2 linked regions of the Diceros bicornis minor genome follow. Each later gene encodes a partner of the first gene's protein in a complex. Links are inferred from orthologs where the notes say so. Each region holds a gene or a part of one and is shown in the gene's direction. Other genes may lie near its edges.

Region 1 (15,573 bases):
CATGTCTTCTTACTACATGGGTGTAGTTGTCTCTTGATCAGTCAAATTAAACTGATGGTCAATGAAACTGATAAACTCCTATATCCAATGCATGCACTGGATCTAATGTTAGACATAGCAAGCATAAGACATGGTTTACACCTTCAAGGACCTTACTATATTGGGGCTGTAGGACATAAATTGTAGTATTTCAAGAGTAAGAAAATAGTGATCTAACAAACTCATGATCTAAAAAATAAAAACAGAAGTTTCTAAACAACCAAATAGAGATTCCAAAGTTCAAGCACCAAAGTTCAGGCTCTAACAGCTATTTACAGGGTCAATTAACCTCTGTCCTAGTGGGATGGGACCTACATGGCAGGATTTGAAGAACTGTGGAACCACTGCCTCAAGTTCTTCTCTTCATTTTGTTACCTGTCTGAGATTCCACCCATTAGGAATTCCCTGCTAGAACAGCAGTCCCTTCTAAAACGCTTCTATTTCTAGGAAGGTTAGGTGTGGTTTTGTGGAGGAAATAGAGTGTTGAGGAGCTTGGAAGCATGTGGCTGAGATAAGGAGAGACTCTTATGTTTTGTGGGGTTTAATTAAGGTTGTTGATCTTTAACACCTACCTGAATTTGCCCACACATTAAGAAATGACAGTTTTGGCATGCAGTGTCCTTTAGAGAGGAGGCACATAGAACTTAGAGGCAGGGTACCAGTTGGGGACCTGGGGAACCTAAGAGAAGAGTAGTGCGGTGCTGGGCCTAAGACATGTGTTTGAGGAGTGCAGAGGGAGGTGGAATGGGAGAGAGGGATTATCACAGGCCCCAGTTGAGAGGTTGGAGTGGGAGATGAATGCCACAGAGAGACTTTCCTTATTTTTCAATTTAGCCCATGGCAATAAGTCTCTCTGTTTGGTGCATACCCTCATTTTTTATGACTACTTCAACCTCCTCCATTTCCCTCAAATGTTCAACTCAACCCTGCAATCTTAGCAACACTGTCCCCCTTTATAGAGAAAATAGAAGCCACAATCAGTGGAACCCTTCTCCTTGGCTTCTAACTGCTCACAAGTAAAAATTTTCATTGACCCTCAATCCTCTTCAGCTGCCCCGCTACACATCCAAATTCTTGGGAAGAGATATCCATACTGCAGTTATTTATCAGTCACCTCTCATTCACCTCTCTCGCCACTCCAGTCTGGTTTTTGGTCTCATCACTCTGTCAAAACGGCTCTATTAAGGACATTAGTAATCCCTATGCAACAGGTGTTTTTTTCATTTCTCATCTACTATCTCTGTCAGTAATATTTGTAACTCTACTTACTCCACCTTAAACATTCTCTTCTTTTATGTTCCCTGGTATAACACTAACCTTGATTTTTTTTCTTCTTCTTCTTTTACTGCCTGTTCTTTGATCTTTGATCTTTCTCAAGACTATAATGAAACTTTCTTGTCTCATGTTACTCTCTCCCCAGGCTATCTCAATCTTGCACTGCTTGATGGCTCACAAATGATATTCCATGCTTAGGCTTCACCTCTGACCTCTAGACTCTGTATCTATAACTGTCTACTTGACATCTCTTCTTAGATGTCTCAAAGATGCCTGATGTCAAACATATCCAAATCATACTAATGACCCTACATATCCCTGGTCTTCGTCCAATGCTCCTTGAACCGTGAGTCACACCAGAATCATTGAATTGTACAGGGTGGAAAGCTAGAAATCATCATAACACCCCTATTGTTCTCATCACTCATTTTTAATCCATCAAGTCCTACTAATTTTATCTCCTTGGAATTTTGTGCTGGGGAGAACCAGCTCCACCCTTGGCCCACCTCTTCTCTCTGCCCACCTCTGGCTTCATCTTGTACTATGAAGAGGCCTCATTTATGTGCATGTGGAAACCCCACCCCCCGCCTCCCAGCTCTGTCCACATCTCCTCCAAACATCTGCCTCTTCATCACTTCTCAAGCCCAGGGGTAAATATATAAGTGACATGTCTGCTTGTGGGAAGATGTACTCATGTAAGAGGCCCTCTCAGGCCCTAGAAGAGATTCAGGGCTGTTTGGACAGGGAATTCCAGGGTCAGGTGCCTGAGTTTAGAAAAGGAGGAAGATAGGTTTTGGTGGGCACATACCCTTGGTTTTGTGGACTTTTTGCTCTCTGGGGGCAAAGCATAGCTGGAAGAGGCCAAAGGAGGCCTTCTAAAGCATGGATTTTAGAGAAGGAGGTCTCTTGCTTCTGTCCATGACCAGTACCACCCTAAATATCTCTCCAATTTGTCCACTTCTCTCCACATCTATATCATTGATATAGCTCAAGATCTCATCATCTGCTGCTAGGACTATTGCACTAGTCCCCTGACTAGTCTTCCTATATATACTCTTGTCCTCTCTAGTCTCTTCCCCACATGGCAGCCAGAGCAATCTTTCTGAAGCATAAATCAGATTATATCACTGAGGTAATAAAATCATTCAACTTCTTCTCATTGCTTTTAGAATGAGGACTAAAAATACTTACTGTAGCTAAGATAACATACAAAGCCGTCTACTCTCATATCTCATCTCACACTGTGCTTCCCCCTCTCTGTGTCTAGACTGTCTCACTTTCCTTCATACTCTTTCTTGCCTCAAGCATTTGTGCATGCTGTCCCCTGTAACTGGACAGCTATTTTCTTCCCTCATTACTCATGCCCATTGAAAAATTCTCAGTTTAAAAGTCACAACCCTAGGAAAGCCCTCTCAGACTTCCAGCAAATGGTATTATTAAATAAATACAGCTTGAATCAGGAACACTGTTCATCACTAACTATTTGGGTGGTCTACCAACTTTGTCAATCATCTTAGATAAACTATGTCCCCATGGAAGTTTTGTAGCTTTCTACAAGGATAATATCTTTCTTAGGGGCTTTTAATATTAAATTCTCCATTCCCATCCTTAGGTCTGCCTGGAAATCCAAACAATTGCAAATTTTGCTTTTCTTCCTGCCGGTCTGCCTTGCTTTTCTTTCTTACTCCTACAGGAAGTTCCATCATCTTCTAAATCGGGGCCTAACTCTTTGCTCTCTGTATTTTGGTCTTTTATCAAATATTTAGAAATTACACATCTTCATACCCTCCTTAACTTCCCTCAGTCCTCTACCTACTCATTCCATTTCTCCAGGCAAATTTCCTTCACAAGCAAAAATGAAACCAGAGAATGCCAGTTTGAAACTTTATAGTCTGTTGAGTTGCATAGTTAGCTAAAGAGGTCAGAGCTCATATGTCTTATTCATGCATGAGATTGCCCTTGGATTTAGAGCTTCTCCTCTACTACTTCTGTATCACTCCAGGAGTACCTTGTATTCTACATGCACAGTCATTTACAATGTTGCATTACAATTATCTTTCTATATGTCTGTCTCCTCTATTAGACTGTGGGCTCGTTGAAGTCAGGGACTGTGTTTTACTAACCTTTTGTATCCTCATAGCCTAGCAAATGCTTGGCATTTAGTGGGCACTCAATAAATTTTGAGCATGAATGAAAGACTAGGTGGTGCTACTTAAAATAAGTATGCAACATTGTTTTCCGGATTGTGCCCTGTCAGCAAGAACACCGGTGTTCTTAAATAAATAGTGGGTTTGTTGATGCCAGAACAATGTTTGCTTTTAGATAGCATCATTTCTTGCCAATTTTCCATGTAACAACAGAGAGAAATTTGGACTCATCAATAGCAGTCATTTGCCTTCAAGACATTAAATGCTGAGAGGCTAATTTATATAATTTTAATGAATGAATGAATATCTAGTGTAAATATAAAAATTAAAATTTAATTGAAATAGTATTTGTATGTATTTTGTCTAGTAATTTAAGCTATTGATGTTGAACTATGCTGGATATGCCAGAACTGAATCAGAAGCATTTTGGAAAGAGAGTACCATTGTCAATGTCCTGTTACCAAAATTACCTCTTTATGCTATTTGAATGCATATTTTTTATTCCAACATATTATTATTAAATAAACTATTTTTGTAAACATAACCTTCAAACCTATAAATGTTATTCTAATAAAAGAATTTTATTTTTTTCAATGCCTATATAATGAAAAACTAATTTTGAACAATTCAATGCTTATATGTGCAATAATAATATTTAAAAATTATTTTGATAACACTTATATAGTTTATTATAATTAGGCCAGAGATTAATTTATCTCAAAAAAAAAGAGAACATAGACCAATTATTTATTTGATGTATTTCTTAAGAGCTACAAGTTTTTTTGGATCAAACAATTCATTTCTTCACGTTAGCCCATACATACACGCTTGAAAAACTGACAAGAATTTCAAGACTTAAATTCCAAGGCTCAGTTAGGTGGCAAGCCAGAGAAATTTTAGCTCAAGACCGGCACTTGGAGATTACAAAACATCTAATAAATTCTAAGCTTTGGAAGACCTTGAGGAGAAAAAGATTTTATCCTTTAATGAAAACTTTTTAGACTTGATCTACTAAAGTTTTAACCTAGGAATATTTTAGTTATATAAACTTTATTGTTTTACAGAAGGTTAAAAAAGTTCAATTTTATAACTTTAAATTAACCACCTTTTAGGTAGTAAGTCTCTTGTATTACATTTGGAAAAAATATAGAACATGAATAGACTGAGCACTATTAAACTCTCAGCAGAGAATTCATTTTTTGATTTCCACCTGTAGCTATTTTTATGAGAGAGGAGTTACTGGCATTACTTTCAACTGATACGTTTATAGATTCTAATTGTTAACATATAAAGAATAATTAAGCATGGATTTCAGACATTAGCTATATTTTTCTTGGGTTGGAAATACAATAAAAAGATATGGGAAAGTGTCATTTTATTTACTTTGTTTAGACAAGTTTAAATGACCTTTTCATTTCTTAAAAATTTAAACTGAACTAGATGGAGAGTAATGCCTGAGGAGCCATTGGACAGCTCAGCAATGAGCAAGTTCTTAAATTTGAATCCCAATTCCCTAATTTGATATGTTCATTCTACCAGTCAGGCCCTTTTCTCCTTCTGCAAGACTGTTACGTGGGAAATGTGGAACACAGAATGTTCAAGGTAGAAGGGTCCTTAATGATAATTTAATCTAACTTGACCCATATGATATGGAGATATATACAGATTTGTGTGTCTGAGTTGGGAACTGGAAATTGACATTGAGCTGAATTAAACTGCATAGTAAAGCGTTGAGAAATTTGAAGTGAATGGTTAGGAAATCTGAGAGAAGGTAGATATAAACTCTAGAGGCCCAGTGTAACATGAAGAAAGGGCAGGAAAAGGGACCCTTCTGCCGTGGGAGCTTTGGAGTGAGAGGGACTTAAGAGATGGGACAAGCCAAAGATGATGATCTAGTGTGTGTTTTTTTTTTGCTGAGGAAGATTCATGCTGAGCTAACATCTGTGCCAATCTTTCTCTATTTTGTATGTGGATTGCCGCCACAGCATTGTGGACAAGTGGTGTAGGTCTGCGCCTGGGATCCAAACCTGTGAACCCAGGCCACTGAAGTGGAGTGCACTGAACCACTGGAGTGGACATAACTACTATGCCACAGGGCCCATCCCACTAGTGTGGTTTTTATAACGTAAACTTTCTTCTCCTTGTCGTCTATGAATTCTTCACCAAATTTGATATTTCTCACTAATGCAAGGGGACATTTTGGGGGGATGGCTTACATAGACAGATGAGGGGACAATTGATATCTGGATCACATTACAATTTTTTATTTGCATTAGAAATGCCTGTATAAGGTCATACATTTCAGACAATTTATTTTTTAATGGGAAATGTACCTTCACAAGTGAATAAGAAATTAAATTGCTTACCATGTTTGAATTGGCTAGTTTGATGCTTACTGGGTTTTAACTTTTCTACCCGTCTGTATTTTTCAGAAAGCTGTCCAGGCCCTTCATGTTATGTTGGATCTGCATATGTTCATAGTATAGTAGGAAGAGTGCTAAGAAAAGGTTTTCTTGCCCCCAATCTCATCTCCAAATGACTCCAAATTACCTCTATTTTGGAATGACTTTGGGATAAGTGATTGTCTCTAGAAACTCTCTGTTAAAATACTGAGGATATTATTAAATATTGTTGTCACATTTTTACGCATGTATTTCACTTTGTTTCTAAGAGAAGCTGACACAGAAGTAGTGCTCTATCACAGAAAGAGATGGCATAAGGGCTGGACCAAGAAGATGGCCAGATGGAGGGAAGCCTGTTTGAACAACTTGATGAGAAGCTTCAGGAATCCAGAGGGTAGTAGAGGGCATAGGTTTATATATGATTAGGGTTGCAAGGAAGTGGGAGACGGGTCCAAAGAGATATTTTATCTGCTTCCGTGCCGTTTCTATCCCGTCAAAATGAATGGAAAACACAGGACAACAGGAATAAAGATTCAGGTTTAATTCCCAGTTATATTTACATTCCAATTGAGGTATTTTTTTTTCTCTTCTAAATGATCAGTACACTATTATTCTTTCCATATGAAATAATTTTCTTAACTGCTCTTTCTTTTTAAACTTCTCCCGTAAAAAATGTGAAAACATTTTAAAATCATTGGAGCTAGTTTCCTGTTTACTTAGAAACCAGATTCTGTAAGCCATATTTATAATTCTCGGTTTAAATATTTGCATTTACCCTTATGCCAGAGTCCTTTGATGACTAACTAAATATAAAAGTTTAAAATCTTGAAGAATAGAATATTTAGAAATAACCAACAATGATATGGTTTTATTCTTCTCACTATAGAATGTACATGCAGAATTAATAGAAGAAAAATGTAGGAATTCTTACTTTGGGAATCCCCAAAATGCAAATGTTCAAGGGTTTCTTTTTTTTTTTTTTTTTAATTTATTTTTTTGTGTGGAAGACCAGCCCTGAGCTAACATCCGATGCCAATCCTCCTCTTTTTTGCTGAGGAAGACTGGCCCTGGGCTAACATCTGTGCCCATCTTCCTCTACTTTATATGGGACCCCCGCCACAGCATGGCTTAACAAGCGGTGCGTCAGTGCGTGCCCGGGATCCGAACCGGCAAACCTGGGGCCGCCGCAGCGGAGCGCGCGCACTTACCCGCTTGTGCCACCGGGCCGGCCCAAGGGTTGCTTATTAATAAGGATGAATTTTAAGCATGCAGATCGTGTTAAGAATTAAAATTTTTAATTTCTCAACCATTTACTAATCTTTAATAAGAATACCCACATGCAAAATACCTTATTGGTACTGTAAGAAAAGATTCTTTCGGATATTTTAAATTTTATATTTGAAAGCTATGGGATCTTCATTAACTATAGAAAAATCAATTCTAAATTTCTAGAATCATGATTAATTTTATCTTTTTTTTGGTGTCCTATATTTACCATCGCATTAAGATACAATATTGCAATGCAAAGTAGATGGAGAGATTAATATTATTCTTTTCATTTGTTAAATGAAAAAGTATGCGCAAAATATATGTGTGTGTGACAAGGGTTTGATTTTGTGAATTAGTAATGCAAACATATTCACTGATAAGGATTGAATGTTTGATCAAGCCTTCTGTAGGGACTCATATAAGGAAAAGTTTAGGGCTGGACACTGACTTTCTCGGCAGCTAAAAGTTGACATAATTTATCTAAAAAAAGAATTATTTTCTCCATTTAGAATGATAGAAAGTTAGAATAATTTCCTTTTTCCTTTTCTAATCTGGGTTTTTGGGCTTAAAAAAAATGGTTTTCTCCAACAGAAATAATTCCATAGGCAGACATTTTTTTATTTCTGTTCATCTGTGGCCTGGCTCCATTATTCAGGACTCCCTTGAGCCGCTTTAAAAAAACTCCGTCTATCTATGTGTCTGTCTGTGTATCTGTGTATCTATCTATCTTTAGTCTGTCTATCTATCTATCTGTCTATCTGTCATCTATCATCTATCTCTGTCATCTATCCATCTCTGTCATCTATCTATCCATCTATCAATCATCTATTTATCTATCATCTCCTCTTCTGTATTTGATTATCTATTTGGTACTCATACGTGAAACGAAATACAGTAAAATAAGATCATAGAAAGTGTATCTCTTTCATCATATGACTGAATAGGAAAAATAATGCTTCTGTTGAGTATTTGTTAGTCTTCGCATCTATATGTGCCATAGAGCAGCTTGACTGACAGTTTTGATTGACTCGGTTATGTAATTAAATGAAATGACTGGCTTGACACTAATTTTTGTAGTTCTTCATCTCTGGGGCGAAAGGGCAGAGAGAGAATAGCCTTTCAGAGGTAGAGATCAGAATCTTGGGTGGGGAGAGTAGGAAAGGAAGTTTGGAAAAACATTTCTGAAAAATTATCTTTGCTTTGTTTTCAGACATAATGTTAAATTTACTTTGAAACTCAAAATAACGTTAAAGAAGAGCATGTGACTTTTCTTTTTATTAAAAGGGAGAAAGGAAAAACGTGTGAAACAGGGATGGAAAGAATATGATGCTTGGTGAAGAAGGTCTAGGATTCTATAACCTCTAGAGGTGTAATCAGGGCTCAAACTGGCCTGTGTATATGATCATGCAAAGATCATCATTACTGTCTTTTGCATTCATGTTCTTCCCCATCTCCTTAACAGGAAATTCTATGAGAGATACCCATATTTCTTCTAAGCATCCTACTGCAGGGACTGAATCACTCATGGGCCAGAGCTGGGATGGAAATGTAGAACTTCTGAATATCCATTTTAGTTGTTATTGTTGCTATGGCTTTTTCTTAGTTTGCATCTTAGTTTGCAGCTTTTTCAGACAGAATAGTTTCAGAAGAATGAAAAAGACATGGATGCCCTCTGTGTGTGTGTGTGTGTAAATTTTTTATTATTTATCAATAAAAACACTCTTGGAATTAGTAATAGATACAATTCAGGGCTTAGCTCTTTTAGTACTTCTTATTTCCAAGCTAAGTCATTGGTTTGGTTAAATTTTTTGCAAATACTGAAAACTAAAATGTTCAAATGGGAAATCACAGATAAAGAACATGGTAATGAATAATAGGCACAAATCGTTTAAACTCTTATGTAAAATTTGATAAGATGTTTTACATAACTTTAATGAATTGACAAGGTCTTGTGGGGAAAACAGCGCTAGATGGCAAACATACGCAACAGATTAGTCAAACAATTGTTTGGCAAGAATATTGTAAATTTTGTAATCAGTTGGGAGCCAATGAATACAAAGATGAGTCTAGTTAATAATCTATAATTATTGGTGAAAGAAGTATATTAGTCCTAATATCCCTCTATTTCTCCTACCTTTTTCTCTTTTATCAACCTCACAAGCCTTTGGCACAATGAAGTGGGTAACCTTTATTTCGCTTCTCTTTCTCTTCAGCTCTGCTTATTCCAGGGGTGTGTTTCGTCGCCATTCATGTAAGAATTCTGTTTTTCTATTGTTCAACTTTTCTTTTATTTTCCTAGTAAAAAAGAGTTTCAGTAAACTCTGCTTCTTTAAAGAAGTAAGTTTTCCTTTAGCATTTATTTCTAGACTTTGACGATATTTTGTATTTGTGAATCCTTAGAAAGTTATCTTATTAATATGTTTCTACCATCCTAGGTGAAAAAAATGGTGAGAATTGCTTAGTACCTGTAATTCCTTTTGCTCATGAAGGAACTTAGACAGAGTGACTTAAACCTCACAGAATATAGTTGAAGATAGAATTCATAACTCCAAATTCTCAGAGGCCTATCTACTGCACCTTACTTTGTAAAAGCAAAACCAAAATCTGTCATTAATCTTATGAATAGAATTTGTATTTATATTTTTCATTTCAACTGTCCTCTCAGTAGCCGTTAATAGACACTACAAGAGCATTAGATCTTATCCAAGTATGAATATAAAGTTATAGATATTTAATGATTTTAATGATTTTTCAAATAGTATCGTTGGTGATTGAGTAACTCTTCTGTTTAAATGCAGAAGAAATAGTTCACCATCATCCTAAGATTTTCTGTAGTGATCAAAGCCCCATGTTTTGGCACAAATGAATACCTAAGTCAAACGGAGAGAAACATAAAAAGTAACATTGTAACCAGTTATTTTCTTCAGAATTTAAACAAATCCTTTTTTTTTTCCCTTTCCCCCCTCCCCAGACAAGAGTGAAATTGCTCATCGGTTTAATGATTTGGGAGAACCACATTTCAAAGGCCTGTAAGTTAAAATATTGAATATTGAAGAGTCAAATTAATGTTTCTAATAGTGTTGGTTATTATTCCGAAGTTTTTATATTCCCTTGTCATCAGGGTCCAGACTCTGGAACAGTTCTGTCCAATAGAATTTTCTGCATTGATGGAAATATTTTATATTGATGTTCTCCAATATGGTCGCCATTGGCCACGTGTGGCTGTTGAATACTTAAAAATGGCAAGCGCAAGTGAGGATCAAAAATTTAGATAATATATAATTTTATTTAAATCTATATAGTCACATGCAGCTGGTGGCTACTCTATAGGACAATGTAGCTCTGGAACTCTTATATAATCTGCATGGTGGGAAAGACTTTACTATATGACTCCTTTCACAGCTCACTAAATTCCTTTACCTAGCAAATAGATCTGTGGTTTCTTGAGAGCATTTTAATATATATATATATTTTTTAGGGGGGAGCAAGATTAGCCCTGAGCTAACATCTGTTGTCAATCCTCCTCTTTTTGCTGAGGAATATTGGCCCTGTGCTAACATCCATGCCCATGTTCCTCTTCTCTATATGGGATGCTGCCACAGCATGGCTTGACAAGCGGTGCGTAGGTCAACACCCAGAATCTGAACCCACGAATCCTGGGCCACCCAAAGCGGAGCCTGTAAACTTAACCACTATGCCACGGGGCCGGCCCATAATATTTTTTTAATCTTGTAAAAACTGAGAAAGTAGTTTATTTTTTAAAGGTCCATCTCATCCTACAGCCTGATTAAATGAGATGTGTGCGTGCTTTTAGCTTTCTGTTTTAAACAGTCAAAGGGCCTATGTAATACCCCTGTTATTCTAATTAGATCTAATTTAGAATACATTTGACTTGCTTGCTCTATGTGCGTGCATCTACTGACATGCACACACATATTTAAACATGGTGGAAGTACATATCTTCTTTAATTAGAAAGCCACATATGCCTGGTTAGGCCTCAGATAATAGCTGATGTGAATAGGCTTTCTGGATAATAGTAAGAAAGATGTATAAAATATAGAACATATACAGATACACAATTTGCTCGCTAGCATAGTAACCTACTTTATGTTAAAATGTTATTATGCTATGTTTTTCTTTGTTCTTTGTTTCAGAGTGCTGGTTGCCTTTTCTCAGTATCTACAGCAGGGCACATATGAAGATCATGTAAAATTAGTGAATGAAGTAAATGAATTCGCAAAAAAATGTGTTGCTGATGAGTCAGCTGAAAATTGTGACAAGTCACTTGTAAGTACCTTCTGATTTTGAATATTATTTCTTCTTCTTCTAAGTAATCCTGAGCATTTCAAAGGAAAAAAAAATCTCATTTTAGTTATCTCAATTATTGCTAATGACCATATTTGTAAGCAACGCTCAAAAGTGGGTATCGCCATTGTTTCTTCTGTGATAGACACATTCTAGATATACCCACAGTTTTAAAAACGTCTCTTTATTGAGACCACACACAATAGTCATAGTGTATTTAAATGGATATTTGTCATTTGTAAAAGTCTCTTTTGAAAGTTTGAAGTTTGATTTCTTTTCATAGAGGCTAATAATTATAACGTGGTTTTTATCATTAGAAAGCACTCAACTGATTTTTAATTTGTTACCCGGATAAAATAATATGTAGTACAGCTACATAGTCCTCGTCTTAGGGATGTTCACGTTTTTACATACAATAAAAAACCAGGGCATTCATTCATTTTGAAGGACTTGGAAGTTTTGATGTTTCTGGATAGGTCTTCAGTACAAGGAGAGGTTTATATTTCTCTCACCACTCAATATCTAAATACTTTTCTGGGAACAAGCCCATTTTTAATTTATCACTGAAGCCTTTCCTCCTCTTATTTCTCTCTATATGTATCCGTCTCTCAAGGCAGAATCAGTACTTTAACTCCACACAATATTATGGCTTTAAAAACGAATTTTAAAAAATGTGTTTTTTTTGAAAATTAAATTCTGTCTTGAGCAGTGTATTTTCCCTGAAGTTACAATTATTTCATAATAAAAATTAATGGAAACAGAAAGGATTTATTTAATGGAATGTGCTTTGAGGCAAATATTTCTAGGATGAAAAAGATCTATATTTTAATACAATAACTTAATTAATACATAGTAAATTGTGTTATACTCCTCAGTTTTTAATAGTATTTTTTTTGTGTGTGTGTGTGTGTGTGAGGAAGATCAGCCCTGAGCTAACATCCCTGCTAATCCTCCTCTTTTTGCTGAGGAAGACCGGCTCTGAGCTAATGTCTATTGTTAATCCTCCTCCTTTTTTTTTTGCCCCAAAGCCCCAGTAGATAGTTGTATGTCATAGATGCACATCCTTCGAGTTGCTGTATGTGGGACGCGGCCTCAGCATGGCCGGAGAAGCGGTGTGTCGGTGCGCGCCCGGGATCCAAACCCGGGCCACCAGTAGCTGAGCGCGCGCACTTAACCGCTAAGCCACGGGCCGGCGCAGTTTTTAATAGTATTTACTGAAAAGTTGGACCTCTCAAAAAGGAGCAGATCAAATAAGAAACTATCTGAACACTTTCCTCCCTAATGTGAATTCACCTGCTACTTGGAGGATTATTTTTCCTTGATTTTTTATTATAAGGGTCACTCTCCTGGCCGTTAGACTCAGTTGGAAATAGAAGTAATATTCATTCCTTCAAGCCATTGACGGTCTTTTTGCCCTTCTGTTTTATCCACTGTAAGTACTAGTGTGACAGTTAATTCTTAAGAAAATTACACATAGGTGGTCAAATCAAGGGAAACTCTCTAAACCTGAGAAAAATGTGGATTTTTATATGATTTCCTGACCAAGTTTTACCAGTATATTAAATTATTACTGTTCTTTGGGTACAAAGAAAATAAAATACTGCCCAGAAATTTGAAGCCTGCTGTCTTCCATTTAGCATACTCTTTTTGGAGATGAATTGTGTAAAGTTGCAACTAATCGTGAAACCTATGGTGAACTGGCTGACTGCTGTACAAAAGAAGAACCTGAGAGAAACGAGTGCTTCCTGCAACACAAAGATGACAGCCCAAACTTCCCCCCTCTGAAAGCAGAGCCTGATGTTCTGTGCGCCCAATTCCAGGCAGATGAAGAGAGTTTTCTGGGAAAGTAAGTAATCGGATTGTTATACTTCAAAATTAAAAATTATGGAATAGGTTAAGACATGATAACAATGACTGTAACAAAAAGTATTTTCAACATTAAGACTTGGAAGCTTTTGTTCTAATGACAATTTTCAAAGAAGTAATATTTGATACTATACAATTCTACACAATAAAAAATTTGATCAAAGATCTTTTGGAGTTTATTAAAACAGGATATGATCTATATGAAAAATTTGAGATCGACATGTATTAAAATATTATGAAGATATATGTTTAGTTATTCTCAGATTTGATTTCATTTTAGTCAATAACATTAGGTCACCAAAATTTAACTATTTTATATGTATGTGTGTATACATATGTATATACATATGTGTATGTATATATGTATATACGTATACGTATGTTTATATATATAAACATATATATAAGTATGTAAGTTTAACCTTTTCACTGACTTAAAGAATAAGAAAGGCACGGTCATCTTGTGCAAATTGAGCTTAATTGGTAAATTAGACGTCTTTGGGTTTTGGAGGCTCTGGGGAGAATGGTTGATTACAGTTGTTCATGTAATACTGTCTGCTATAGAAAAATGACTGTCTTTTCTTTTAAAAAATTTAGATATTTATATGAAATTGCCAGAAGACATCCTTACTTTTATGCCCCAGAGCTCCTTTACTATGCTGAAGAATATAGAGACGATTTAAAAGAATGCTGCCAAGCTGATGATAAAGCTGCCTGCCTGCTGCCAAAGGTATTTCCCAGAGGAATAGAAGAACTAATTCATAATCAAACCTCAGATTTTGAGGATCTTATGGCTAGATTTAGGGAACCTAAATCTCTGATATAAACTTCTTTACATGGTCAAAAAAGCCTTCCTCACTCTTATCCTCCACAGAGATCTTTCACTCTTTTTAAAGGCCTCTGACCTTCTATTCCTCCTTCTAAGGTTTACCAAAGTGGATCTGATAGAGGGCATCCCTGTCTACGTGTCTCAATATCCTAGCTTTCTTTACGGTGCTGGTCACTATAGTGAAATATGGAAACTCATTTGTAAAATTGCACAGCAAGGGGGCACAGTTTTTGTTTATCTTTTCATGAGCCTTTTTTATGAGGGGGTGGGTCATGGAATTCAAAGTAGAGAATTGAACTGCATCTAGAAGCCTGGATTTATTCAATCACTCTGTAAATATTTATTATGTACTGCATTCTCTTTTGTAGGGAGTTTATTGATGTGATGAGAGTTGATGAAATGAATTATATGCAAAATTAGGAAGGCAGTCAAGTCATATTCCCCAGGATATGAGTGTAGTCTGTTCTTCCTCTTCCCTTTTCAGTTTCCTTTTCCCTGGCAATGCCTCTGTGCTGGTGCTTAACTACCTAGAGGCTTCCACTAGGGCCGGGCTGATTTTTCCTCTCCTTGCATAGCAAAATAATTATTCACCAATAGGGAGCGCTTGGGAATTTAGGTGTCAATTATCTCTCTAAAATTTAACTTGGCATAGTCTCAGCTGAACTTAAGAAGCGTTTTTACATGTCAAATTTTTCTTTTCTAATTTTTCCAAAATAATTTCTTTTTACAGATTGCAGTTTTGAAGGACAGAGTACTGACTTCATCTGCCAAAGAGAGACTCAAGTGCGCCAGTCTCCAAAAATTCGGAGAGAGAGCTCTCAAAGCATGGTATTTTAAACTTAGTTTGCATCTTTATAGTGGTGCAAATGACGATGGCTCAGTTGACAAAATTGTGCATTTATATAGCATTTTACACAGAGCTTTCACATACATCCTTTTAGTTGTCTAAAAGGTAAAAATTTAAGAGGTGAAAACCAGAGCATCAATGACAATTTGTTATTATTTTTTATCACATTTTTTCTAAGTAGTCAAAGAACTCACAGGACATCTTTTTTGTCCTTCTAGGACAGGTATTTAAACTCCCATTTATTTATAAAAACTAGGGATCTTATTCTAATAGTCCACACTTTTTATAAAGCTATCATCAGGAGCTTTCATTTAATTTTATCTCCCTCCCTCAATTATCTGAAAGTGTCTGATTGTCTTTTTATGTTCTGATAATTAAATACAGCCATCAAGTTTACTACTCATTTTTTCATAGTTCCAGCTCTGCTCTTAATCTCTTTTTTTTTTTTTGCCTGGGCCTCTGTTTTTATATTAGTTAGCTGGTTCTAGAAGCATCCTTCAATAGTATCCATGCCAAGAAAAGTCCCCCCTCCCCAATCCTCCATTTGCTAGTCAACAATGAACCAACATGAACAGGAGATAAAATGAAAATAA
Region 2 (15,966 bases), on another chromosome or scaffold:
AGTGAGGGAACCGCCCTCCACCCCATGACACAGCCACCGCCCACCTCCGCAGGGACGTCCAGATCGGCGACATTGTCACAGTGGGCGAGTGCCGGCCCCTGAGCAAGACCGTGCGCTTCAACGTGCTCAAGGTCACCAAGGCCGCCGGCACCAAGAAGCAATTCCAGAAGTTCTGAGACTGGACACCTGCCCGCTCCCCCAAACAAAATAAAGTTATTTTCCCAGTCATGGGCCAGGCTCAGGGTATCTGTGCCCTTATGGGGGGAGGGATTGGCCTTGGGAATTGAGCAAAGGGTTGACATGAAAGGTGGGGTTCGTTTTCATCCTCCAGGGACCAGTCCTGCCCTCATCTCTGGGTGAAGACTGCCCCTCTCTCTGGATCTCCCTTCGGTTCTGCGCACCTTTCTTGGTGTCGGAATAAATAAGGCCTTTACCTGGCGTAGAGCTGCCCCCCCCTCCGCTTCCCCCCAAGTCTCTGGGGAGGAAATGAGTGAGGGCGGAGGCTCCTGGGTTCTGTAGACTTGTCTGGGCCCTTTTGGTCTCCTTGGGGAGGGGGAGGAAGAAGTGCCACCCTCTGGGCCTCTCTGGGGGGTTGGGTGGGCTTGAGGAGTTCACAGCTGCCTGACTGAGCTATGAGGGTCTTCCCTTCCACCTGGCCTCCCTGTCTCCCCTGACAGCCAAGGAGTGGGGCAGGAAAGTAAGGCAGGGGCTCCCCCTGCGAGCCCCACCGCCCCTGCCTAAGTGGACACTGGGCCCATTTACAGATGAGCAGTCATCTGAGGGGGCAGGTTCTCTGCCTGCAGCCCTAGTGAGGAGCTAAGTTTCGGGTTCTGGAAACTTCCTTTGCTGGCAAAATCCAAGTAAGGAAAATTGGCCTTGAGGGCAAGTCTCAGAATGAGGCCATGCTGGAGCCAGCCTGGAACCCAGCTCAGCAGTGCGGGGTTGCAGGCTGCTGAGAAGTGCATAGGAAGCGCCTGGAAGTGGGTCGAATGGGGAGGGACAGACCAGGTGGGGCGCCTTGGGTGAGGAGAGACACAGGAAATGGGAGAATGGGGACAGGGTCAGGCAAACTTAGGGAAAGAGGTTTCTGACAGCCAGACAGAACGACCTTGAGTGTCAGGGAAAACGTGGGAGGTGGGAGAGGTTGACAGCTGATAACAGGGAGAGGGGCCTTGAGCGTCAGATGCAGGGATGAAGAGAGACGGGCAGAGAGCAGAGGGCTCAGCTGGACACAGCAGGAACCCAAACCACAAGCAAGGACAGACTCGGCTTTCAGAAACAGACCTAGATGGACCTTGAGCATCACAGAGTTAGAGGTGACAGGCATGGGGTCCACCAGGCAGGAGGGCGACAGGTGTAGACGAGTCAGAGAAACACCATGGAGAGGGAGGCAAGGACTCCTGGGATCCGAGGGGCGGAGACGGACGCGCAGAGAGAGAAGGGAGATGCTGGAGTCATCCTGCCGGCTTCACCCCTGGGGGCCCGGCGCTGCTGGGGTCCCCAGGTCCCTGCCCCCCATGCCTGTACCAGGGACTGAGGCGCAGCACTGGTACAAGGGTTGGGAGACAGGGCCGTGAGGAGAGAGGAGCCGCTGCCGCCTCCAGGGACGCCGCCTCTGGACCGGCCCGGTGGCTCCTTTTTACCCAGGCCCAGCGAGGGCGGGGGTTCCTGCCAGAGGAAGTGGGGCCGCATCAAAGAGGGCAGGAAGGGGCAGGGACGGGTCAGGAGGGGGCACCGCCCCGACTGTCAGCCTGCACGCCCGCCCCACCCCGCGCTAGAGGGGTAGAGACCCTGAGAGAGGGGACGGAGATGGGGGAGTAAGATCCAGAGAGAGGAGAAGGGAGCAGTGACCCAGGAGGGACATGGATGGAGACCCCAGAGGGAGGGGGATGGAGACGCAGAGAAGGATCCGAGGCCGCTCTGGCGGCCCCCCTCCGCAGGTGTTTCCGTTCGGGGTGGGGATTCGTGTTTACAACAACAACAGCCCAGCTCCCCTGTTTCCTCCCAGCAGTCGTTGGGGCGTCTCCTTGGCACCCCACCGCGTTGGGCTACCTGGTCTCGGGTGGGGCACCTCTGATGGGCCTGGAGGGTCGAGAGACCTCCAGGTGGCCCCAGTTCTCGCCTGAGGAGTGGGTGACACTGTATCTGCCCTTTTAGAGCCGTGTGACAACAGAGATACAATCCCAGGCCCGGGTCACAGCCCCGTGCTTCCCCCTCCGCCCTCTGCCCACCACTCTCCCCTCCCTTCCTCTCCGCCTGCCCGCGCCCCTGGGACCTGGGCCTGGAAGCTTCTAACTGTGCCTCCGTCTCTAATTCTCACAACCCCCTTCCACTTGGCAAAACCTCCGACCTTCCCCCTCACCCCTCCCTGCTGCGTTGTCCTACACAGTCAGGTAAAACCTGTTTATGGTGTGTTTGTGTGTTATTGTATGAATTCGGTACAACATAGCATACCTACTTGTTTACCTGTCGGCCCCTGGAACGTGAGCTCCATGGGGCAGGATCCCCGCGTCCCCAGCGCCTGGAACAGTTGTAGATGCTCTGGACGTGTTTAGTTGAGCGAACGAATTCATTTCAAGTTAAATCCTCGCATTCTCCAGGGCGGGCCTGCCCCCTAGGTCTCAGGGCACAGAATGGCCAGAAGCAGTGAACACGAGCAGAATCCTCCCAGTGTGAGCATGGAGACTGTGGGCTCGGTTCCGGATTCTAGCCCTGCGGCTCGTCAGCTGTGTGACCCTGGGCAGGTGGCTCCCCCAGCCACAGAGCCTCAGTTTTCTAATCTGTGAAACGGGTTCTTGCCTCCCTGCCCCATTGGGAGGATGAAATATGCTCACGTGTGTTAATGGGATAGAACTAGTTCTAGTAAGTGATACTTCTTAGCAAAGTAATTATTCTGGAGCCCTGAGCCTGTAGAGAGGCCCAGTGGTGTCTTGGTAGAGCAGGTCCTGGGTCCCTTCAGACAGGCCCAAAGACAAGAGTCTTTGCCAGGTGGCCCCAGAGGGATTATATGGTTGTGGACTCCTGGGTCTATTAAAGCAAGCCCTGGTGGTTTGGCCTGGGATCTTGAGTCTGTTTTAACGTGCTTCTGGAATGTTCTGTTGCATGCCTCTTATAGGAGGCCCCGGTGGCAGTGGCATTCTGCAAGGAAATTAGCTCCCCAGTTTCACAGCAGGGTCCCGGGTGTATGATGACAGCAGGCATCAGGCCTGTTACATGACAACAGGGCAGATCTCGGTGGTATCATAGTGTACTATGGCCCCGCACTGTCATACAGCCACGGGAATGTTCTGTTACAGCCAGACTGGCCATCAGTGTTGCATTCTATTGTAGCGGGACCCAGGTATACGGAGTGTGGCGGGCCCTCGGGGCCTGTAACAGGCCCTGCTGGGGGTTGCCATACCCGAATTGTATTACAGCCGGCCCATGAGTATTAGCGTGTAGAGACAGCTGAATTCATTTACCTGGTCCCCAGGTCTGAGAGTGGAGTCTAGGGCAATGGAATTGGAGTGGCTGCCGTGTGTGTTTGCACAGCTGTGCCGTCATATTTTAGCACCACCCTGAGCCCATCCTTGGAAAGCCCCGGGTCTTGCATTACAGCAGGTCCCAGCTCTAGTACATATTGTAACAGAGACCTATGGATTGTTTCAGGGGTGGGGATAGATCCTTCTAGAACATTCTAGCAGGACACCAAGGCCATTCTGGAAGAGTTTTAGGGGCATATCAAACCAGCCCAGTGTCGTTCATTATTGCCTTCATTCATTCGTCTGGGGATGTGAGAGTGAGCAAGACAGATCCAGGGCCTGGTGTCTGAGAGCCCACGATCTAGTGTGACCCTGGGGACCTGAACAGCAGCCTGGAAGGGGGCATTAAGGGGAACAGGAGTTACGACTGTGCCCTACTCTGTGGCCTGCGCCAAGCCTTTGACTCGCCGAAGCCTGTCTACTGGGTTGGGCACAATTATTATCCTCCTTTTGCAGGTAAAGACACGGAGGCTCAGAGAAGCCCACCTGCGAGAGGCAGGATTTGGTTTGGAACTCAGGTGTGATTGCCTCCTGGGGTCAGTAGGGGGCACTATGGTGTAGGTGCAAAGGGGACGGGGATGTTAAGGTGGCAGCGACTCAGGTCGCTCAGAGCTGCCAGGGGGCCATTTATAGTACACAGACCCCAGGGGCCAAGGCGGCTTCCTGGGTGAGCTCCCCACGCAGTGAGAGCTCCTTCAGAGGGACCTATGCTTCATTGAATGCTCTGCTTGGACGTCTTGGAAGTGGAACACGGGGCCCCAGGGTTTCATTTGGCTTCGGGTCCACAGGTTAATAACCGGTCCTGCCACAGGCTTTCTGTTGCTTTATAGTGGGCCCCTGAGGACCTGACAGCAGTACTCCCAGGGTCTAGAGGGCACAAGCAGGATGTTAAAGCAGGACCTGGGGATACGACAGGAGACAGTCAGCAGATGCTGTACGTGGCTCCTGAGATGTAGCAGGACCCCAGGGCACCTGGAAGGGGTTCCCGGTGGGCATTAAGGGACCTTGAGGGCTTTTTCTTTTGAAGCTGGAAGGAGGGATGTTAGGGGGAAAGTTTGGGCAGACCTCTGAGAGGCCTCTTGGTGAAACCCTGGGGCCATATGACAGCAGAGAGAGGAGATTAGAATGGGGGCATTCTAGCAGGGGCAAGGGAGGGCGTCCTTGGTGACTGTGGTAGGCTGGATAATGGTCCCCCAAAGTTTTCTATGCTGTAATCCCAAAAAACCTGTGAATATGTGACATTACATGATAAAAGGGACATTGCAGCCACGATTAAATTTAGGATCTTGAGATAGGGATATGATCCTGGATTTTCGAGGTAGGACCAATGTAATCACAAGGATCCTTAGGAGAGGGAAGGAGGATCAGAGTTAGAGAGAGGTGTAAGGATGGATGCAGAGATCAGAGAGGAGAGAAGATGCTACACGGCCGGCTTTGAAGCTGGAGGAAGGGGCCACGAGCCAAGGAATGCAGGTGGCTCTAGAAGCTGGAAAAGGCAAGGAAATGGATTCTCCCCCAGAGCCTCCAGAAGGAACCAGCCCTGTGCACCATTTCAGATGTCTGACCTCTGGAACTGTAAGGTCATACATTTGTGCTGCTTTAAGCCACTAAGTTTGTGGTCATTGGTTACAGCAGTGATAGGCCACTAATACAATGATCTGGGGTGTGTGTGGATGGCGCTGATGCAGGATCCTGGGGCGCGCATGGATTTTCCCGGAACCCCGCAGGACACTTGGATGGCTCTGGAACACAGTAGAGCAGGCCCTGGGTGTGTTTTAGCAGGAATCTGAAGACTTCATGGTAGGGCTAAGAGGCATTCTAATAGGGTCCTGGCAGGACCCAGAGGGCTGAGAGGGGACTCCCCAAGGCCGTTTTGGCGACCCTCAAGGCCACACAAGGGAAGGCTGTACCCATTTTAGCAGGAACCAGGGGACCTTCTGAGCACTCGGGGGAGAGTGTTGCAGGGTCCTGGAGACATTTTATCAGGAACCCAAGGACTTTTTGACAGGAGCCAATGGGTATTAGCATAGGGTCCCGAGAGGTGTTGAAGTGACAGCCGACGGGGTTATAGCAGGACCGAGGACACCTAGAGGAGATGCCCAGAGACGGTGAGGCAGGAGCTGGAGGACAGTCGAGCAAGATGTGAGCATTCCAGAAGGACCTGGGGCCACCAGGGCGGTGCATTAGGGTCTTGGGAGCATGGTGGCAGAACCCAAGGACTTGTCATCAGCACTCTAGTGACATTATTTTAGGGTCCTAGGCAATGGAGAAGAATCGTGGGGGGTGTTTTAACCATTAGAGGAGGACCCAGGGTGTCTAAAGATAGCGGGGCCTCCTGGGTGAGGGGGCAGCGGTCTCGTCCGATGCAGGGCCGTGGAAGGGGCATGACGGCGAGTTCCTGGGAAATAACGGAGGTTTCTGGCCAGGGAGGGAGGTTATGGCAGGTCCTGGACGGTCTGTCTAATTGTTTCTGTCTATCTGTTTACCTCTGTCTGTATATCTGTCTACTGGTCCATCTGTGTATCTATCTGTCTGCCTGCCTGCCTACTTACCTGTCTATTTTTCTGTCTATTTGTCTGTCCATCTGTCTGTCTACCTGTCCATCTGTGTATCTATCTGTTTGTCTGCCTGCCTGACTAGCTGCCTGTCTATTTTTCTTTCTACCTACCTATCTATCTATCTATCTATCTATCTATCTATCTATCTATCTCCCTCCCTCCCTCTCTCCCTCCCTCTCTGTGTCTGTCTGTCCATCTGTCTTTCCTGGGGAGGTTCTGGATAGGGCAGGGCCTGGTGAGGGACAATAACAGAGAGAACCCAGGAGTGGGTTTGGGGACCCTGCTCAGCTTTACACCAGGAAGTGAAGGATCCAAACAGGCTTGGCCACGGGGAGGGGCCCAGGGCTGAGGGCACTTCGGGGCCCTCCCAGAGTGGGTGGCAGCAGTGGTTCCGTGAGGGCTCAGGACTGGTTCAGCTGGATTCCAGGGATGGGGTGGCTGACTCTGTGGGACATCAGCGTGGGCTCCTGAAGACGTTATCGCTGGGTCTCAGGACACTATCAGGGGACCCAGGGAGCAGAGAGTGGGGGCCTGAGATTAGTAGAGACCCAGGAGCAGGGTGGCGGCCTCCGGCCATGGTCCTGCAGGAAGCCGGGAGCGGCGTTAAAGCTGGTTGTTACGGCAGATCCGTGAGGGCTGCACTGGGGCCCCCCGGGGCAGTGCAGCAGACGCTGGGCCCCGCCACGGGGTCTTAATGGGCAACAGGCCTCAGAGTGGGATGACAGGGATACTATATTAGGGCTCAGGGAGCATTTAGATGAGTTCCGGGCCATCTTAGGGTGAGACCCAAGCAGGACCTCAGGGGGATGGTTTTCAAGCTTCAAGGAAAAGTATAGCAGGTCCGGGGGGGGTGGGTTGTCACGGGACGGTGACACTTTAAATCAGGGTCCAAGGAACATCCCAGCACAGTCCTGAGGGCCTTTAAAATGAGAGCCCAGGGGCTGCTGGATGAGTGCCCCGGGACACAGCTGGATCCCAAGGGACGTGGAGGGGACAGCTGGGCACGGCAGCCTCCTTGGGGTATTTTAGGAAAGAGCAGCAGGCGCCGTAACAGCGTTCATGGGACGTGAAAGCAGGATCCTTCTGTATCATGACAGGCGGACCCTTGGGTGGGTTAGTGGATATCCTAACAGGACCCAGGGAAAGTAATGAAAATCAATGGAGGCTCCTCAATAAATCGAACACAGATTTATCACCTGTAATGGTTAATTTCACGTGTCCACTTGGCTGGGCCGCAGTGCCCAGATGTTTGGTCAGACATTACTCTGGATGCACCTGTGAGGGTGTTTTTGGATGAGATGTACACCGGAATCAGTGGCCCCTGAGTAAAGCCGCCTACCTTCCATAATGTGGGTGGGCCCCATTCAATCAGTTGAAGGCCTGAGTAGAAGAAGAAACTGACCTCCCCCAGGCAAGAGGGAATTCTGCCACCTTTGGACTTCTTCTGCACGATGAGCTCGTCCTGCTTCTCCAGCCTGCCTGCCTTTGGACCTGAGCTACAACTCTTGCCTGAGTCCCCTGCCGGCCGGCCACTTGTGTCAGATTTTGGACTCGCCGAGCCTGTACGATCCTTGTGAGCCAATTCCTTGAAATAAATCTCTTTCCGTATGCGTATATACACATCCTATTGATTCCGTTTCTCCAGAGAACCCTGACTAGTGCATCATATGGTCTAGCAATTCCACTCCCGGGTATATATGTCAAAGAACTAGAAACAGCTGTCCAGGGGCCGGCCCCGTGGCGTGGCGGTTAAGTGCCTGCGCTCTGCTGCTGGCGGCCCGGGTTCGGATCCCGGGCGCGCACCGAGGCACGGCTTGTCAGGCCATGCTGTGGCGGTGTCCCCTATAAAGTGGAGGAAGATGGGCACGGATGTTAGCCCAGGGCCAGTCTTCCTCAGCAAAAAAAAAAAGAGGATTGGCGTGGATGTTAGCTCAGGGCTGATCTTCCTCAAAGATAAAAAAATAAAAACAGCTGTCCAAAAAAAAAAAAAGTCCAAAAAACATTGTACAAAAACATTCACAGCAGCATTATTCATATAGCCAAAAAGTGGAAACAACCCAAATGTCCATCCACTGATGACTGGATAAACAAAATGTGGTAGATCCAGAAAATGGAATATTATTCAGCCATAAAAAGGAATGAAGTTGATACATGTTACAATGTGGATAAATCTTCAAAACAGTCTGCTGAGTGAAATAAGCCAGACACAAAAGGCCACAATATTGTAGGATTGCATGTATCTGAAATGTCCAGAATAGGCAAATCCATAGACACGAAAAGCAGATTAGCAGCTGTTAGGGGCTGGGGGGAGGAGGGACTAAGTGTTTGTGTGTGCAGTTTCCTCTTGGGGTGATGAACAGTTCCCGGAACCAGACAGTGGTGATGGTTGCACAACGTTGTCAATGCACTTCATGTCACTAATGGTAGATCTTATGTTTTGTGCATTTTCCCACAATAAAACAAATGAATGGAAGCGTTATAGCCTGAGCGTGGGCTGGGGTGGGTGACTGGGAGTGATTTCCAAGCGTGGTCGTGGTATATTGGGACTGTGTTATTGAGGTCATCTGAGGTCATACTAAAGAACTGCAGGAGCACTTTAAGGGGACACTTAAGGGAGGAGTCCGAAGGAGGAAATATAGAAGCATCTGGAGACCTTCCATTATAGCTGGAGCTAATGGAGGCATGGGCCGTACAAGGGGGTAAGAAGGGAACCCACAGAGATCTCCCAATTTTGAACTCCGATAATGTTTATTCTCCACTTTGTCATGAATTCGCTGGGTGGCTGACACCCTCTAAATAAAAAATCGGAGCGGCAGAGAAAGAGACAAAAAAAAAAAAAGACAAAAAGTTTCAAGAGAGGCAGAAACCAGCACTCCGAGAGGCCGGGCGCGGGGCCCGGGGTGTGCCCTGCAGCTGGGGGCGGGGTTGGATATTCCTGGAGTCGGGGAGCCGTCTCCGGACAGGATGTGAGAGAGGAACTGGGGTCTCCAGTCACGGGAGCGGCCAGGCGGGAAGGGCCGTGGCTGCCGTAAGCGGGGCCGGGGCCCGGGTCCTGAAGGACAGGCTGGGGTCGGGGCGCCCGGTCCGCGGGAGGGGGGACCCCAGGGGGGAGGGGGCCGAGGGAGGAGGGCTGGGGGCCCGGGCTCCAGGGTCCGAGGGCGGAGGGGAGCGGGGGCCCGGAGTCCCCGGAGTCCTCCTCCTCCGAGGAGGAGGAGGGGGGGAGGAGGAGGAGGAGGAGGAGGAGGGGGGAGGGGGAGGAGGAGGAGGAGGAGGAGCAGGAGCAGGAGCAGGAGCTGGAGGCGGCGGCGGGGCGCGCTCCGAGAAAGAAACCTCAGCCTCAGCAGGCTCTGTAATTAATTAACCACCGGGGATCCCGTTAAGGGGTGAAAGGTCGCTGAGGAGGCGGGCGCAGTTGTCACCCGCCTGGACCGAGCCCGGAGCCCACAGCCCTGGTGGCCGAGCCGGCCGAGCAGGGGGAGGACGGGGCGGGGCGGGGGTCCCGAGCAGTCACGCGCCCCCTCCCGCCCAGGTCGCCCTCTCAGGATGCGGGTCCCCCCTCTTCTCCTCCTGCTCTTCCTGCTGCCTGGGACCCTGCGCGCAGGTGAGGGGCCGTCGGGCCGGGCGGGGGGCGCAGGGCGCGGGAGGGGTGGCGAGCTGTGCCGCCGGGAGCCCCGCGAAGGAAGCGAACGCTGAGGTTTCGCTCGAGCCCGGCGCCTCCTCCGCCGCCGCCTTTCACATTGTCGATCGCTTTCTCCTCCCGCGTCCGTGTGCCCGGAACCACCTGTCCCCTTCTGTCTGGGTCTATCTGCCTGACTCTGGGTCGTGCCCCGACTCTGGTTCTGTCCGCCCCTCTCTGAGTCTGCCCCCCAATCTGTCCCCTCTTCCCTGGGTCTGTCCCCCCTCTCTGGGTCTGTCCCCTCCTCTCTGAGCCTGTCCCCTCCTCTGGATCTGTCCCCCCCCTCTCTGAGTCTGTCCCCCCCTCTGGGTCTGTCCCCCCCTCTCTGAGCCTGTCCCCTCCTCTCTGAGCCTGTCCCCTCCTCTGCATCTGTCCCCCCCTCTCTGAGTCTGTCCCCCCTCTCTGAGTCTGTCCCCCCCTCTGGGTCTGTCCCCCCCTCTCTGAGCCTGTCCCCTCCTCTCTGAGCCTGTCCCCTCCTCTGCATCTGTCCCCCCCTCTCTGAGTCTGTCCCCCCTCTCTGAGTCTGTCCCCCCCTCTGGGTCTGTCCCCCCCTCTCTGAGCCTGTCCCCTCCTCTCTGAGCCTGTCCCCTCCTCTGCATCTGTCCCCCCTCTCTGAGTCTGTCCCCCCCTCTGGGTCTGTCCCCCCCTCTCTGAGCCTGTCCCCTCCTCTCTGAGCCTGTCCCCTCCTCTGCATCTGTCCCCCCCTCTCTGAGTCTGTCCCCCCTTCTGGGTCTGTCTCCTCCTCTCTGAGTCTGTCCACCTGACTCTGAGTCTGTCCTCCCTCTCTGGGTCTGTCCCCCCCTGGATCTGTCCCCTTCTCTCTGGGTCTGTCCCCTCCTCTCTGGGTCTGTCCCATCCTCTCTGGGTCTTTCCCACCCTTTCTGGGTCTTTCCCATCCTCTCTGAGTCTGTCCACCTGACTCTGAGTCTGTCCTCCCTCTCTGGGTCTGTCCCCCCCTGGATCTGTCCCCTCCTCTCTGGGTCTGTCGCCTGTATCTGGGGTTGAGTCTTCTCTCTCTCGGCGTGTCTGTCCCGCTCCCAGTCTAGCCCCCACCCCCTTCTGCTCTCTTCACCTGTTTCTCTCCAGCAGAGAACCATCTGTCCCTCCTGTACCACTTCACCGCCGTGTCCTCCCCTGCCCCGGGGACTCCTGCCTTCTGGGTGTCAGGCTGGCTGGGTCCCCAGCAGTACCTGAGCTACAATAACCTGCGTGGCCAGGCTGAGCCCTGCGGGGCGTGGGTCTGGGAGAACCAGGTGTCCTGGTATTGGGAGAAAGAGACGACAGACCTGAGGAACAAGGAGAAGCTCTTTCTGGAAGCTTTCAAAGCCTTGCAGGAAGAAGGTGAGACTGGGACTCCTGGGTCTAAGGGAGGAGGGACCCCCGGCTCGGAAGCCCTGCTCACGTGTGTGTAGGCGCCCCCGGTCCCTACACCCTGCAGGGCCTGCTGGGCTGTGAGCTGGGCCCTGACAACGCCTCGGTGCCTGTGGCCAAGTTTGCCCTGAATGGCGAGGAGTTCATGGAGTTCGACCTCAAGTTGGGCACGTGGAATGGGGACTGGCCCGAGTCCCTGAGAATCGGTAAGAGGTGGGAGCAGCAGGCCGACGCCATCAACAAGGAGAAGACCTTCCTGCTCTACTCCTGCCCCCACCGGCTGCTGGGGCATCTGGAGAGGGGCCGCGGAAACCTGGAGTGGAAGGGTGAGCAGCCTCCCGAATCCCTCACCACCACGATCTCTCCATCCCGGGGGCCCCGCCTCAGGCCTCCTCCTCTCCCCAGCATCCTCCCTGGCTTCCTGGCCTCCAGTTTCCCCGCTGCAGCTCATCCTCCACACAGCCCATAGGCTCTTTCTGTACCCAGAGCTGCCCCTGCCCCTCCCCTGCTCACAGCCCTCCATAGCTCCCCAGTACTCCCAGCGTAATGTCCTCATCAGACCCGTCCAGCTTTACTTGCCTCCACCAGGCACATGGCACCCCTAGCCACTCCACATATGAGCAGTGTCTTCCCTCTAAATCTTTGCTCGGGCAGCTCCCCCACCTCCCACCTCACCCACTCCCCCCCACCTCTGATTAAATCCCAGACATCAGAGGATTTCATTCGTAAATGCTTTAGTATGTAACTCTGTTCTGTAAGGGCTCTTTAAAACAATACCACAAAACCATTATCACGCCTACAAGTAATTAACTACGTTCCTTAACACGGTTAAGGACCCGGTTCGTGATGACATTTCCCTGATCGTCTTATCCATGTGTTTTTAAAGTTTGAATCAGGATCCACATGAGGTTTCAATGAGTCTATCTGTCTCTTCAGGGTCTTTTTCTTATTGTCGAGTTTTAAGACTTCTTTGTATATTTGAGATCCCATCCTTTATGGGATGTGTTTTGCAGTTATTTCCTCCCAGTCTGGGGCTTGTCTATCCCTTCTCTTCGCAATGTCTTTTGCAGAGCAGAAGTTTTTGATTTTAGTAAAGTCCAGTTTATCACTTTTTCTCTCATGGATCGTGCTTTTGGTGGTGTATCTCAGAAATCATCACCAAACCCAAGAACATCAAGATCTTCTCGTATAATATCTTTAGGAGTTTTGTAGTTTCGTGTTTTCCCTTTAGCTCTGTGATCCATTTTGAGTTAATTTTTACGATCTTAATTTTTGTGATCTTCACTGTCTTTTAATCTATCGGTCGCCCTATTTCTCTGGGTCTTTTTTCTTTGCAATTTTGCTTTGAGGAAAGTGAGTTGTTTGTCCTCAATCCCTGAGATGTTGCTGAATGTGATCCTTTTTCTGTTCTCCTGTTTCTCCTGTAAACTGGTAGCCCCCGATGTGGAGGCTTGATCACGTTCCAATTCGATTTTTCTGGCAAGAAAACTTCCTGGGTGGTTGGCGTGCGTGTCCGTGTGCACGGGCCCTGTCTGTCTGGTCGTCTCTGTGCTGTTCTGGCGCACCGTCGGGTTCAGGGGTTGTCATGAAATTCGCCGTCAGGTTTTCTCCTAACGGTGTTCGCTGCCATCGGTGACCCTTGCCTTGCTCCGTTATTTCATTAGGAGTTACAAAGCAATGGTGTATTCGTTTGCTTGGACTGCCATAACAAATACGACAGACTGGGTGGCTTAAATAACAGGAATTAATTTTCTCACAATTTTGGAGACAGGAATTTCAAGATCAAGTTGTTGGCAGGATTGGTCCCTTCTGAGGCCTCTGTCCTTGGCTTGCAGACGGCCGCCTTCTCCTCGCTGTGTCTTCACGTGGTCTGCCCTTCTCTAGGTGCATGTCTGTGTCCTAATCTCCTCTTCTTACAAGGACACCAGTCATATTGGATTAGGGCCCACTGTGATGACCTCATGTAACCTTAATGACCTCTTTAAAGGCCCTATCTCCAAAGACAGTCACATTCTGAGGTACTAGAGGGTAGGGCTTCAACTTAATGAATTTGGGGGGACTCAATTCAGCCCATAAAAGATGGCATTCTAATTCTTTCGTACCTTCTTCACTCATTTATCTGGAATTCTGAAAAGAGGGTCATCAGCTATCAGCTTTCAAGGGGACCAGTTAAGTTTTATTTTAAGTATTACTATGAACTCATGGATCTTATGTATGTTAATCCATTGAAGACCTTATTCTTTTTTTTTTTTCTAATTTTTGTTTATTTGTTTTTCCCCAAAGCCCCAGTAGATAGCTGTATGTCATAGTTGGACATTCTTCCAGTTGCTGTGTGTGGGACGCGGCCTCAGCATGGCTGGAGAAGCAGTGCATCGGTGCACGCCCGGATCCGAACCCGGGCCGCCAGTAGCGGAGCGCGCACTTAACCGCTAAGCCACGGGGCCGGCCCTAAGACCTTATTCTTTTGGAAGCTCACATTGAACCATCTTACACTATTGAGAGGGTCTTCAAATTGGCTCCTGAGTCTTTTCACATGACCCTACTAATCTTTTATGGCTTCCTTGCAGTATGCAATGAAAGGTCTCCAGGTCATCTGTTCTTGCCCGGCCCCAGTCCTGGAATGAGCCATTTCTCCGTGGACCCCTGGTTCCTTTGAGTGGGAAATAGTATTTAGAGACCACAATCTAGTCACTAGTGGTGTTTATTGCTGCTGGATTGGTGATTGTAAGCCTTTTCAGTGGACAGAGCTAGAAAGTAGACATTTTATTTTATTTTTAACTTTTTATTTTGAAATAACTATAGATTCAAATTTTATTTTTATTTTTAAAATTTTTTAAAATCTTTACATTTATTTATTTATTTTGGTGGGGAAGATTGGCCCTAAACTAACATCCGTTGCCAATCTTCCTCTTTTTTCTGAGGGAGATTAGCCCTGAGCTAACATCTGTGCCCATCTTCCTCTTTTGTATGTGGAGTGCGGCCACACATGGCTTGATGAGCGGTGGGTAGGTCTGTACCCGGGATCCGAACCTGCACGCCCTGGGCCCCTGAAGTGGAGCCCGTGAACTTGACCACTACGCAACTGGGCCGGCCCCTAAATTTTTTATTTTATTTTTTTAATGTGATATACTTGACATATAACATTGTGTAAGTTTAAAGTGTACAATGTGTTGAATGATACACGTATATATTACAATATGATTACTACCATAACTTTAACTAACACCGTCTATCACAGTCATATAATTATCATTTCTTTTTTGTGGTGAGAACATTTAAGATCTAGTCTCCTAGCAATTCTGAAGCGTATAATACAGTATTGTTGACTATAATCACTATGCTGTGCATTAGAGCTCCAGAACTTACTCATCTTCTAGTTGCACTCCACGCTCGTTGCAGCGTTATTCACAATAACAAAGATATGGAAACAACCTAAGTGTCTGTCAATGGATGAATGGATAGAGAAGTTGTGGTACATATATACAATGGAATATTATTCAGCCATGAGAAAGAAGGAAATCCTGCCTTTTGCAGCAACATGGATGGACCTTGAGGGCATTATGCTCAGTGAGATGTCAGACAGAGAAAGACAAATACTGTATGATCTCTCTTATATGTGGAATCTAAAAAAAGCCAAACTTATAAAAACAGAGTAAAATGGTGGTTACTGGGGGCTGGGGGTGGGGGAACTGGGGAGATGTTGTTAAAGGGTATATACTTTCAACTGGAAGATGAATGAATTTTTGTTTTTTTTAAGTGCAGTAAAATACACATAACATAAAATTTACCGTCTTAGCTGTTATTAAGCGTATAATTCAGTGGCATTAAGTACATTCACGTTGTGCAGCCATCACCACCATCTATCTCCAGAACTCTTTTCATCTCGCAAAACTAAAACTCTGTCCCCATTAAATGCTAACACCCCATTCTCCCTTCCCTCCACCCTGGCAACCTGCATTCTGCTTTCTGTCTCTATGAATTTGACGAGTCTAGGTACCTCGTATAAGTGGAATCATACAGTGTTCATCCTTTTGTGACTGTCCTATTTTACTTCACATAATGTCCTCAGGGTTCATCCATGTTGTCGCATGTGTCAGAATTTCCTTCCTTTTTAAGGCTGAACAATATCCCATTGGCTCTATACACCACATTGTGTTTATCTGTTCATCTGCTGATGGACACTTGGGTTGCTTCCACCTTTTTGCCTATTATGAAAAATGCTGCTGGGAACATGGGTGTAAAAATACCTCTTCAAGCCCCTGCTTTCAGTTCCTTTGGGTATATACCTAGAAGTGGAATTGCCCGATCATGTGGTCATTCTATTTTTACTTTTTTGAGGAACCGCCATACTATTTTCCACAGCACTGCATTATTTTAAATTTCCACCAACAGTGCACAAGGGTTCCGACTTCTCCACATTCTTTCCTCAAGTTTTATTTTTTAAAGGGAAAATATATCATGAATTCATGCTGATATTGACAAGTCACATTTAAATTTGCGGGGTTCTTACTTAAAACTTCTTTGATTTTGTGTTTGTATTTCTTTTGCTTTACTCTGAAAATTTTGGTTCCTCATGACATTAACATAATTCCTTACTTGCTCTATGCTAATATGTATGCGTGTGTTATTACCAACAATCTGATTGATTACTGAAAACAAGTAAAAATTTCTTGGCAGTTTTTTGGTCCTTAGATTGTAGCCATAAAGTGATATCGAGTCAATTTAATGTGGTTTTTTTTTTTCCTCCCAAAGCCCCAGTAGATAGTTGTCTGTCATAGCTGCACATCCTTCTAGTTGCTGTGTGTGGGACGCGGCCTCAGCATGGCCAGAGAAGCGGTGC

What was found.
Region 2: the proteins of ALB (region 1) and FCGRT are in contact, whole or in part, in a crystal structure (PDB 6QIO), measured with the Homo sapiens proteins. The link is inferred for Diceros bicornis minor from reciprocal best matches to the Homo sapiens genes ALB and FCGRT. Residues at the interface, in NP_000468.1 of Homo sapiens: Arg105, Glu106, Thr107, Tyr108, Gly109, Glu110, Asp113, Asn133, Asn135, Gln441, Ser443, Pro445, Thr446, Glu449, Leu484, Leu487, His488, Thr491, Pro492, Val493, Tyr521, Val522, Pro523, Lys524, Thr530, Phe531, Thr532, Phe533, His534, Asp536; in NP_001129491.1 of Homo sapiens: Arg65, Glu67, Glu69, Gly72, Ala73, Val75, Trp76, Gln79, Val80, Ser81, Trp82, Trp84, Glu85, Lys86, Thr89, Arg92, Asn172, Lys173, Leu175, Thr176, Leu179, Phe180, His184, Glu188, Arg192, Gly195, Asn196, Trp199, Lys200, Glu201.

The regions. Positions count from the first base shown.
Region 1 is NC_080747.1:59,356,292-59,371,864, forward strand, and holds the start of ALB (albumin), read left to right. Parts: upstream 1-9,304; coding exon 9,305-9,383; intron 9,384-10,103; coding exon 10,104-10,161; intron 10,162-11,287; coding exon 11,288-11,420; intron 11,421-13,075; coding exon 13,076-13,284; intron 13,285-13,901; coding exon 13,902-14,034; intron 14,035-14,863; coding exon 14,864-14,961; intron 14,962-15,573. UniProt on the Homo sapiens protein: Binds water, Ca(2+), Na(+), K(+), fatty acids, hormones, bilirubin and drugs. Its main function is the regulation of the colloidal osmotic pressure of blood. Major zinc transporter in plasma, typically binds about 80% of all plasma zinc.
Region 2 is NC_080773.1:24,936,761-24,952,726, forward strand, and holds the start of FCGRT (IgG receptor FcRn large subunit p51), read left to right. Parts: upstream 1-8,693; 5' UTR 8,694-8,753; coding exon 8,754-8,778; intron 8,779-9,608; coding exon 9,609-9,680; intron 9,681-10,841; coding exon 10,842-11,096; intron 11,097-11,167; coding exon 11,168-11,452; intron 11,453-15,966. Other genes in the region: RPS11 (small ribosomal subunit protein uS17), read left to right, coding at 53-176. UniProt on the Homo sapiens protein: Cell surface receptor that transfers passive humoral immunity from the mother to the newborn. Binds to the Fc region of monomeric immunoglobulin gamma and mediates its selective uptake from milk.